3 linked regions of the Arabidopsis thaliana genome follow. The protein of the gene in region 3 interacts with the protein of the main gene of each other region in a pairwise test. Each region holds a gene or a part of one and is shown on either strand. Other genes may lie near its edges. The genes, in order: ABCI14, AT5G49130 and AT1G76185.

Region 1 (3,759 bases), about 22 Mb from region 3:
GATTCGATCCTATGCGAGAGATCAATCTTAAGAGAGGTTAAACTTCACATTCAATAATGTACCGGGAATGGAGACTTCAAGAATCATCGGCTTGATAGACCACTAATAAAAAAATGACAAAAACTAGAACATCCAAATATATGTCGTTCGAAAATGTAATTCCGTAGCTAGCTTATACAATTCTATACACAGAAGATATTTCGAATATAGACACATATAAGATGTTGCGGTAATGCAATTTTAAGTGTAGTTGGACATGGATTGGTGAGAAAAGTAAAGTGAAAAAAAGAAATAATTAAGGAAGAGGGGGCTATAGCTCTGAAACCCTAGACGAAAGCAACACTGCATTGCCAATAGTAGAAACAGTGCGATCACGAGATTCAACTCATTCCTACTTTCTTACTTCTTAGTATCCACTCCACTTGTAGTACTAGCTAGCTCCCTGCCACGTGGTCCTCTCCTCTTCTTTTAGCTTTATGGGCCTTGTAAAGCCCGCGGGCCCCATCTGCCCATCCCATGCACATGCATCACATTATGCTTTCTCTCTATCTACGAAATTACGAATATAAGTATACGTATAGAACACTTTTTACAATAACCAAGGGTCAAAGTTTTCTCGAGTCGGAGGATATGAACTAAATAGTACATTGTCTACCAGCGAAGCTTGAACATGAGATCTTGAGACACATTTCCTTTGGAAGGTACTGAATTGAGTGTTCATAGCGGTTCAAGGAACTCGATTAATTTAAAATACCTGAATTACCATTTTTTTGGGGATTCGTTGTGCTTTTTTAATCAATCTACCGGAAATGAAGACAAGTTTTGCTAAAAACGTAACACTTGAATATTGTAAATTTGTAACATAAAACTCTAAAACCTTAACAAATTAATACCTCTAATTAAAATAGAATACTCATAAAAATATAAAATGTAAAAGATACAAATATTGAATATCTTCTAATATAATTCTAAGATGCGAAAGATATAGTAGTCGAATTAAAGCAACCAATTTCAGCGTTTCCTTAAACTTATATTTCCAAAATATCATCTAGGACAGTTTGTTTTTTTTAAGAATCGAGACCCTCTACTAAACTCTTGCATTCAATTTGGTAGAATCACGTTTTGTGTAGGAGAGAAGTAGTGCTTTTGGTTTGTAGTGTAGAGTAGGGTAAACGTGAGTATATAAAACGTAGAGAGGCATATATTATACAGAGAGTGTGCTTTTAAAGAACGGACCGGCTGAAGAAAAAGATAACGTTGTTGTCTCCGTAAAGGTTACCAAGTATCACTGTCACGTGACCACCACCATTCCTCTTTTCACATCTTTCTCCTTTCGATATTGGTTATATTATAGTTAAGTTAGCATTTAGTTAAATTTACTATATATTAGTAAGCAATGAAGGGGATATTAGTACAAATCTGGACATGAAATGTAGGCCTTTATTTGATTGATTGTCTTGGTATAAACATTTCATATAATAGCTTTGTAGATTTATACAACCAATTAAATAATTAACACTTTACATATACAGAATAACATAAAATGTTTAGATCATATATTTTGTCATTTTGGATCAATAGAGAAAAACACTCATTGTTATTTTCTTATTTATACTTTTCTGTATCAGTCTATGTGTAAAGTACAAGTGGACCTGCCGTGAATGGCATAGAGCCCACGCTTTACTTGTAAAAGTATATTGGGCTTTACGGCCCACGGACCAATTTATGTTTTGCCATTGGTTTTTTTTTTGTTTGTTTTGTTGGGAGTTAAACCCACACATCTTCTTCGCAACTGTTAGTTGTGTGTGTTGTTGTTGTTGGCACTGTGCCACTTTCTCTCTCGATGAACCCTCTCAAGCAAGCTTCTTCGATCTTCCGAGCTTAGTTTCGTTTCTAAATGTAAGTTTTCAAGTTTTTGTTTCAGTAAGAAGATTGATAGACCTAATTATTTGTTCCCCTTCTATATAGTAGAGATTTCACCTAGATTGGTCCGTACATATCTTATACTGGGATTCGAATTTGGCTGCCTCAGAGTCAGAGATTGATTAATTGATCAGGTCACCGGAAACTTTTTGTCTCGATTTGGATCTCTTATGCAAAATCTGTTGTGTCCTAATTCTATTTGATTGTAAATCAATTTGATTCTGGGTTTATTACAGATTCAGCTGTTGAAATCGTGCTTATTGCTACAAATTGAGAGGCACTAAATCAGTGAGGTCGTAAAGAAGAAGGCAACCACAATGATGCAGACTTGTTGTATCCATCAATCGTTTTGTTTCCCTCATAGGTATTTTGTGTTGCCATAAGTTTATAAGCTTTCTCATTTGCTTCATTGTCAGAATATGTTATTTTGGATTCTTGAATATTAATTTTGCAGAGTCTTTCCACGGTTTGATGCTTCGATTGGTATTAAGCCCCCAAAGCTTTGTCAAGTTGGTTTCATTGGAAAGACTCAATCTTATGGGATTTCAAGTCCGATACGGCAAAGAAGATTATATGTGAATTTGAATGCTAATGATGGTCACCCATCCATGTCTATGTTGGAAGAAGAAACCTCTACTGAAAACAACGCACCCAGTCAAGAAGCCGAGCTTCCGTTCAGCAAATGGTCACCTTCTAAGTACATATGGAGAGGTTTATCAGTTCCTATTATAGCAGGACAAGTCGTTCTCCGGATTTTAAAGGGTAAGATTCACTGGAGAAACACTCTTCAACAGCTGGAGAGAACCGGACCGAAATCTCTAGGAGTTTGTCTTCTGACTTCTACATTTGTTGGTATGGCTTTCACAATCCAGTTCGTTAGAGAATTCACTAGACTAGGTCTAAACAGATCCATTGGAGGTGTCTTGGCTTTAGCCTTCTCTAGAGAGCTAAGTCCAGTCATCACATCGATTGTTGTTGCTGGACGAATGGGAAGTGCATTTGCAGCTGAACTAGGGACAATGCAAGTCTCAGAGCAAACTGATACACTCCGTGTTTTAGGAGCTGACCCAATTGATTATCTAATCACTCCAAGAGTCATCGCCTCGTGTTTGGCTCTACCGTTTCTGACACTCATGTGTTTCACTGTTGGTATGGCTTCAAGCGCTCTGCTCTCTGATGCAGTTTACGGGATCAGCATTAACATAATCATGGACTCGGCTCACCGAGCACTTAGACCATGGGACATTGTGAGTGCCATGATTAAATCTCAAGTCTTTGGAGCTATAATATCGGTAATTAGTTGTTCTTGGGGAGTAACCACTACTGGAGGTGCTAAAGGTGTTGGAGAATCTACAACTTCTGCTGTCGTCATGTCTCTTGTCGGAATCTTCATCGCGGACTTTGTGCTTTCTTCCTTCTTCTTTCAAGGTGCTGGAGATTCTTTGAAGAACTGTGTTTGACATATTATTTTCTGTCTTCTTTTGTTGTGGTTTAGATGGGTTTATGTAAATCAGTTGTCTTAAATTGAGAAAGTAACATCATTTTAGAAAGAACAGAAAGATTGCTATATTTCTATTCCAATAATGATACACATTGAATAATCTTGAACTATATAGTTCATCGGAAAATTTGCAATCAGTATGGGCGGAGTTAAAATGTTATGCTATGAACTTATGACATAACATCTTATTTGACCAAGCAGATATAACATGGTAAAACCAAACTAGCTTACTTGACCAATAATCCAAAAAAAATAAGCATGAAGTTTTGAAAAAATGTTGAAAACTGGAAAAACTTGGCCAATCTCTTGACTTTTCTCTTCACCTGCCGCTTTGC
Region 2 (3,759 bases), on a different chromosome or scaffold from region 3:
GGAGAAAAGAAGCGAGAAGCCACAAGGACACTAATATGATGCCTATTTTGTATGGGTACACATGCACATGCTTGCACATGTGTTCCGGCCAATTAGCTCTTGTTTTTCCATGTGGTTCGGTATCTCTATATACACTCATGCACCCAATATATATTACACGTCATGGTCATTAGCCATCGCATCCATATAAGTCTTCATCATCCAATCCACGATTCCACTCCCTTCAATAATGCAAAATCTTCAACAGTTTTGTGTTTCATAAAGTTTTACATTCTGTCCTTGTCCAATGAAGACACTTACATAAATGTATAAGTTTTAAAACAAAAGCAAATCATTGAGACATAAATGGAGATAGTATATATGAAGAACAAAAAGAAAAGAGAAGGAAAAACTGTTAGTGTAGGCCTTCTTCGCATTTGACAATAATTTGATCGACATTAGGTGAAATGACGTTCTTGCCCACCAAGTCATGAGCCTTCAAGGACTCTTTGTTCCAATCTGTGTTATAAACAACGGTCAAAATGGAGATTGCACAAGCTAGCTGTGCCCCAAGCAAGCCATAGCATAGGCCCATGAAGCCTAAACCCCACACAAACGCTAAAACAACCGCCACTGGTGCTCCAACTACATAGAAGGCGTAGAAATTAATCTTGGCCCCTATACCTGGCCTCGCACTGCCACGTAAGATTCCACAGCTAATGGTCTGAGGACAGTTGGCAAGCTCACAAGCTCCAATCACCGGAATAACCGCCGCCGTCAGCTCGAGGACAACTTTGTCGGCGGTGAAAACTTTTCCCCAAGCTTCTCTCCCCACGGTGGTCCCCACAAGTCCAAACACTGACACTGCCACGGCGGCTCCGACAGCCACAGTCGCCGCTGTTTTTGCTTTCTCTGGCCGTCCTGCTCCTAACTCGTTGCTTACCCTCGTGGATACCGCGGCCGAGAGGGCCGTTGGGATTGTATACATCAATGAGGTTGTTTGTATCACGATGGCGGCTGCTGCTAGCGCCACCTTCGGCTCGGGGAGATATCCAGCGAGGACCGTCATGAACTCGTACCACCACCACTCCAAGCAAACCGCTATACAGCTCGGAACAGCGAATTTAACCAGCGTTGACCACACATCATTTTCACCGGAGTCTCTCGAACCATACAGCATCAACGGCGTATCAAGACAAAGAGACTTGGAAGTGGTTTTGTCGTTGTTGTTGTTTTCCAAGTAGATGTAGCAAAGGAGAAGCGACAAAGAGATGAAGTTGGTAAGAAAAGAAGAGACGGCGACTCCGGGAACTCCGAGAGAGATGTAAAACGTGAAGAAAGCAGTAATGGGAAGATGAAGAAGGACGGAGACTAACGTGCACCACATCAAAGGCCAAGTGGTGCCTTTACAACGTAAGTAAATACGTAAAGGATGAAGGAAACTATTAGCGAGAAGATCAGGCAAAGAGAAGGAACAATAGAGAGATGCGACACGAGTGATATCATGTTGTTGGCGGAGCATCAGCATTAGAGGCGCGAGGTTTAGCCAAAGGAGTGATATGGGAAGAGAAGCTAAGAGAAGGAGGAAGATGGTTCGCTTGAGGGTTAAGGAAGCGAGTGAAGGGTTTTTAGAACCGATGGCTTGACCACATAATGGTTCCATACCGGTGGCTAAACCAGAGAGGACGGAGTAACCGGTGATGTTGGTGAAACCGATGGCTAAGGCTCCTCCTGCGAGCTCAAGGCTACCGAGTCGTCCCATACACACGACGGATGTCATGTTCTTTAGGTAGTTTAATATGCTCATGGCGGCCACCGGAAAACTTATGTCCCAAATTCTCTTCAGCTCCTCCACCACCTTTTTAAATATTTTAAATAAAAAAATAATAATTATAAGAGAGGAGATATTTGAAAGACTCTATCTGAGGAAGAAGTTTACTAAGAATAGAAGTTTTAGATTTAATTTAGTACCTCGGGCATTGTCGGGTTGTACTTGTGTTGGAGATTTATGAGACGTGAATCTTCTTCGACCACCATTGTTAGTGTTTGTTTATTGAGATGAGAGATTTAAAAAATATGAAGAGAAGATGCCATTTTATAAAGAAATTTTATTTGTTTTGTTTTGTAACATGGAGTTGGGTTTGGCATGGTGGGGGTTCCCAAAATATTGATGTCATTATTTGTTATCCATTTTTCTTTGTGTGGACTCTAATATATACAAGTATAAATACAAACTAAGTATAGTTTGAGAAAAATATAGGATATTAAGTTCAAGATTTAATCGTATATCTCTTATACTATCAAAGTTCGAGATTTTTTTATTTTTTTATTATAGTACGACTCTCAATATCCTACATTTTTATTAAACAACATATTTCTTTATTTTTGGTCAGAATTAAACAAAAGAATGTATTGACCTAAAAGAAGTACGAATCCAAACCTGATTTTGTCGTACAAAAGCGTCACATAAACAAACGAAAGTATAGGCATGTGGAAATTTAAAACAACAAAAAAAAAAGAACAAAACTCAAATCAAATTTCTTCTCAAGATTCTGTTAGTACAAAGTTCCATTTATGATTATCTCTTTATTTAATCTTTGTTAAGAAAGTGAGTGTATATTTTCTTTGGTTATAAAAAAATCATGCATATAGGCAATCTAAATTAAACTAAAATAGTGTTCGGAACATACAATTGTTATCTAATCCATAGTAAATATGAATGCATCTCCGGTGAAACAGTATATATTTGGCCTAATAAATTTGTTAAGAAAGTGAGTGTATAGTTTCTTTGAGTATCGGAAAATCATATAGAGAATCTAAACTAGTGTTCGAACATACAATTGTTATCTTAAAAAATGCATTTACCATGAAATAATCTTTGTGTTGAAAAAATATTAACCAATAGATTACTAACACTTGATTTTAGATATCGAATTTGTATTTCTCCTGAGGAACTACTCTCTTTTTTTGTCCATGATAAAATGTAAGAAATTGAATATGTTAGTTATAAAGGCGTAAATATTATTATGAATATTTTTGAAACTTCGTGTGGTTTAAAAAGATGCATAGAACTAACAACAACCTTTCTAAAATAAAATGTGATAAAAGATATTTATGAAGCTCAAACTAACGATATTAGTAGAAAGTGATATGATTGGTCCATCAGTCTAGAAATGAAACTAGTTAGAATTAGGTATAGCGCAATGTGTTGTCTCCCTCTCACTGTAATTATCAACCCAAAATCGACTTGAAAATTATGTATACCTTTCCTTTAATTTTTTCCCTTTTCCTACTTATTCCCACTCCACTCCCTATAAACTAGTGACATTTTACATCTTGTCTCTGCTTACGTGGATAAATGATCATCATGACAATCGAAAACAATATATATATATATGTGTGTGTGAATTAGCTAGATAGCCCATGTGTGGTTTTAATAAAAATATGAGAAGTTTGATTACATATATTTTAACATTATAAACTACTGAAATACAAGATTGATGCTTTTTTTACCAGGATCTTATTTTATAAGTTCTATAGTGATGAATTATATCATATGAGTAGTGAATTTTTTTAATTTTCATATATTTAAATTATTATTGAAGTTATTTGGTTTATTTGATATATATATATATATATATATGCTAAATACACATATATAGAAATTGAGGAAAATGATTTTTAATTGAAAATACTATTATATATGTAAATCAGATTTTCATATCGATCGTTTTCATAGAATTTGCAAGCCGTTCCAATTGGTCGATATTTGGCCACAAG
Region 3 (3,759 bases):
AGTTAAAGAAAACTGATTCAAACTTTAAATAGAGTAAGAATAATATGGAATAAGCAAAAATGTTTTTTCATTTCCTCTGAAAGCAAAAATAATTTATTTTTGACAACGCAAAAGAGATTTTAAAGAATGGGATGTCCCTATAAATTATTGTTCTTAAAGTTTCGGGCTTTCTTATATATATATATATATTCACAAATATAGGAACCATCTTGCAAATTCCAAAAATGGATTACAGATTTTGAAAGGATTAACAATTTAATGCACCATAGATTGGAAGACACGTGTCAAGCATTAGCGCAAATCGGACGACGGAGCTCATAGTCAGAAATGGAACGTCGGATGTAGACAAAGAAAAGAGTCAGAGAGAAATTTAGATTAATCAATTACATCTTAAAACGTGTCAATATAACATGGGAAGTTGTCCTTTTGTAGGACCCAATAGTATGTACTGATTGGCGTAAAAGACGTGATGTCGGTTACGTGGGTCCACTTGACTTATTGACTAGTGCCACGCTGGAACAAGCTTGTTCGAGAAGAAATGATGATTTTTTAGAAATTTATAACGTTCCTTATTTTTTCTTTCTTCTATTCTATGCGTTACAAAATACAAACAAACCAATAAGAACTTGGTTATTTAATTCTTATCACGCTATGAATCCTCAACGATTAGGTGTTATTTTAACTTATTATTCACTAAACATGTTGAAGAGGCCAATCTAGTAACGCATGATCTTTGAAATTGTAAATACATGATCTTGGATACTCTAAACAAAAAAAAAAACAAATCCAACAAGTAATATAAGTCCGATTGGCTCAATCGATTAGGAAGGTGTTGTTGCAATGCTACCGGATCTCATTTTTAGTCCTAATGCTACAATAAGACGGGTAATTTGCGCTTGTGAATCCGCCAAAAGTATTATCAAAGAAATGATCGTGGACATAAACAAACTAAAACTAAAGATTTAGATTTTAGAACGAATAGAAAGTTAGCATCATCTTTTGTTTACCATTTTTGGGGCACATAAAACAATCTTTCGTAATCTCGTTTATGGGAAAAGGGTTTGTGTATGTATTTTTTCAACGTAAATGGTTATGTTTTCATGCAGTTTTTAAAGATAAACTTAGATGTAGATAATGAAATCATGAGTAGACAAATGAGCATAAGATGACTTGGATTTCTTATGAATTAATATGTTAATGTGTGGGATGTCATTTTCGACCTATTGAAAAAGATATACTAAAAATATTAATGAAGGACAGATGGTAATCGGTAAATGCATCATCTCTTAAAATTCGCCTAAAATAAAAAAAATGAACCGACGTGCCACATCAGTAATCTCTGGTCTCTAAATTTAACAAAGACGTAGCACGAACCGTGACGTATCAACACACATATCAAACAAACCTATCTTTTTCAATACTAACTTATTCGTCTTTTTGGTTCTTGTTGTCATATACACCGAAGCTCAGCTCTTAACTTATTCTTTGGATAATGTTTTCGGTGATAGCGAACCGACAAATTGTAGCCGACACTTAGAATTCACAACTAAACTATAGATTTTAAAATAATATTAATTAATTCGAAAGTTTGAGATATCTGAACAAAGTTTTCTGAAAAACGTAGAATACATATGGATCAAATACTATAATTCGAAAGTTTCAGATTAGTGCTAAGTAATGAACGTCATGCGTTTGTTCTTCTGTCGATTTCTTCTTTTTCACCGCCCGTCTGAGTTTTATGGGCGTGATATTTTCCTTATTGTGGTCAAATCAGGAATATTCAACAATATTTAGCACTCGCTTTACTTGGTGGGACATGAGAATCAATCGATGCATCGCTGTTTTATTTCTTTTTCTTTGATGTTTCTATTTCTGTTAGAACAAAGTTTTCATGATTCTTAAAAGCCCAAATTTCATGGCATCGGAACAAAGTTTTCATATATGATGACAACTCAAAACAAAAGAGTAACGGTAAAAGCCCAATACCCATAAAATGGGCTTAAGAATCCAGATCGGATCTATAACCCGACCCGGTTGTTGACACCGAGAGAGTCCACGCAACGTTCGCCGAATTCCTAACGAATCGGACACCGTTTCGTCGCTGTAAAATTTTGATGCGAAATTTTCCAATTCACAGATTTTGTTTTTCCATTGTTTTGGATTTCTAGATTCTAGTTATATGTTGGTGATAGATTTTTCCTACATCTCGTGATTCTCAAACGCTTCTTGAGCTCTTCGTCGAATCGGGACTGTGATCGGGACTTGGTGGAGAAGAAGCGATGATAACAAGATCGAATCTAGCAGAACAGCTCAGGGAATATCAGATTAGATCAAAGCATGATTGGGCCTCCGTTTCTTTCTTCTCTTCCACCTCCAATTTCTCTTCCTCCAGGTTAGAGATCTCCGGCTTATCCTTTCCTTTTTAATCTGCTGTGATTTGGAGCTGCGTGCTTAGAGTTGTATTTGAAAAATTGTACTTTGTGATATTTAATTCAATTGGAACCGTAAATTTCTCATCTTTTAAGGGATTGTCGTTGAACATTGGATATCTATGTGAATCCTACACAAGGAACTATAATTTTGACTTGTCCACGTTGAACCATCTTTGACAATTTGACATACACTTTTCATTCTTATCGACTCTGTTGCAATCTGGATTCTATTGTTAAATTTTGACAATGAACATTCTATAGTGGTACTTATGCTATTCGTTTCGTTTGCTTTTGATTCAGGGTTGATGTTGTAGTCTTTGTCATATGGGAACTAGTGATGTTAGCACTCGTGGTGTTTTCAGCTGTATCCTTGTACTTCAGGCGGTTGCAACTTGCTTTTATCCTGCTTTGTGTCACCTTACTATTACTCCTCTGTATGAAAATCACAAAGCAAGTGAGACATGCTAGGAAGAAGAAGCGAAGGATGCTTCTTCCTCTCTCTATGTAAAGACCGAAACCATTGAGCTGTTGCGAACCGTTTATCTTCTCACACAACCAAACCACAACTCTTCTCTGGCATGAGTTTTGTGCCCATATGCATTGATGAAGATGACAGCTAAGCTCAGACTGACTCTGGGACGCATCGCTTTTGTCCTTTGAAGAATCGACCTGAACTTGAGATATGAAACCAGGGACTGCAATTTCAAGGCTTAGCTTAGACAAATCAGAACAAAAGTGCTGTAAAGGTTGTTTTCCTGTATAAAGTAGTATGGGAGGTTGCTTTATTTTTCCTAGGCACGATCACGGATTGTTAACTTGAGCGTTTTGTGATTAAAGATAGTTTTTCCATCTATCTATGTTACACTTAATATCATGATGAAGTGATTTAGATTTGTTGGCTGTAAAAAGTTTTTAAAAAATGATTTGCAGGATTTTCATGTGACGAGAAAAAGAAAAACAACGAACACTCATGAAAGTAGAAGAGAGAACTATAAAATGAAAAGTAGCAAGCAACTTGCTCGAAACGCTCACATGTTTCTATCATTACCTTTGCGCTCTGCAACTACTTTAGTATCTTGTTAAAGAAAAAGTGGTAATAGTTAGTATTATTTGTAATGTTATGGTCTGTCAATACACTAGCTTAGCTTGATTTGATTAACTTAATTTCCAAATAATGAGATACTGTCTACATGGTGATATAGCTTTGTCAAAGTTCATTAATGACAATGACAAAAACAAGTGTGTTAGTAACCAAGATAATTGCATTTAGTCGTAATTCATGTTTTGAAACGGAAATAATTAGAAAGATCGAAAATCTCTAGATATT

The links.
Region 1: the proteins of AT1G76185 (region 3) and ABCI14 interact in a protein complementation assay, tested with the Arabidopsis thaliana proteins (one large-scale study listed by BioGRID).
Region 2: the proteins of AT1G76185 (region 3) and AT5G49130 interact in a protein complementation assay, tested with the Arabidopsis thaliana proteins (one large-scale study listed by BioGRID).

What each region holds. Positions count from the first base shown.
Region 1 is NC_003070.9:6,844,572-6,848,330, forward strand, and holds ABCI14 (trigalactosyldiacylglycerol 1), read left to right. Parts: upstream 1-1,766; 5' UTR 1,767-1,899; exon of another isoform or gene 1,900-1,971; 5' UTR 1,972-2,057; exon of another isoform or gene 2,058-2,159; 5' UTR 2,160-2,240; coding exon 2,241-2,287; intron 2,288-2,377; coding exon 2,378-3,383; 3' UTR 3,384-3,551; downstream 3,552-3,759. UniProt on the Arabidopsis thaliana protein: Required during embryogenesis. Permease involved in lipid transfer from the endoplasmic reticulum (ER) to plastids, and necessary for thylakoids formation.
Region 2 is NC_003076.8:19,914,161-19,917,919, reverse strand, and holds the start of AT5G49130 (MATE efflux family protein), read right to left. Parts: upstream 2,049-3,759; 5' UTR 2,017-2,048; coding exon 1,951-2,016; exon of another isoform or gene 1,838-1,950; coding exon 395-1,837; 3' UTR 1-394.
Region 3 is NC_003070.9:28,588,218-28,591,976, forward strand, and holds AT1G76185 (NADH-ubiquinone oxidoreductase chain), read left to right. Parts: upstream 1-2,107; 5' UTR 2,108-2,279; coding exon 2,280-2,392; intron 2,393-2,732; coding exon 2,733-2,940; 3' UTR 2,941-3,314; downstream 3,315-3,759.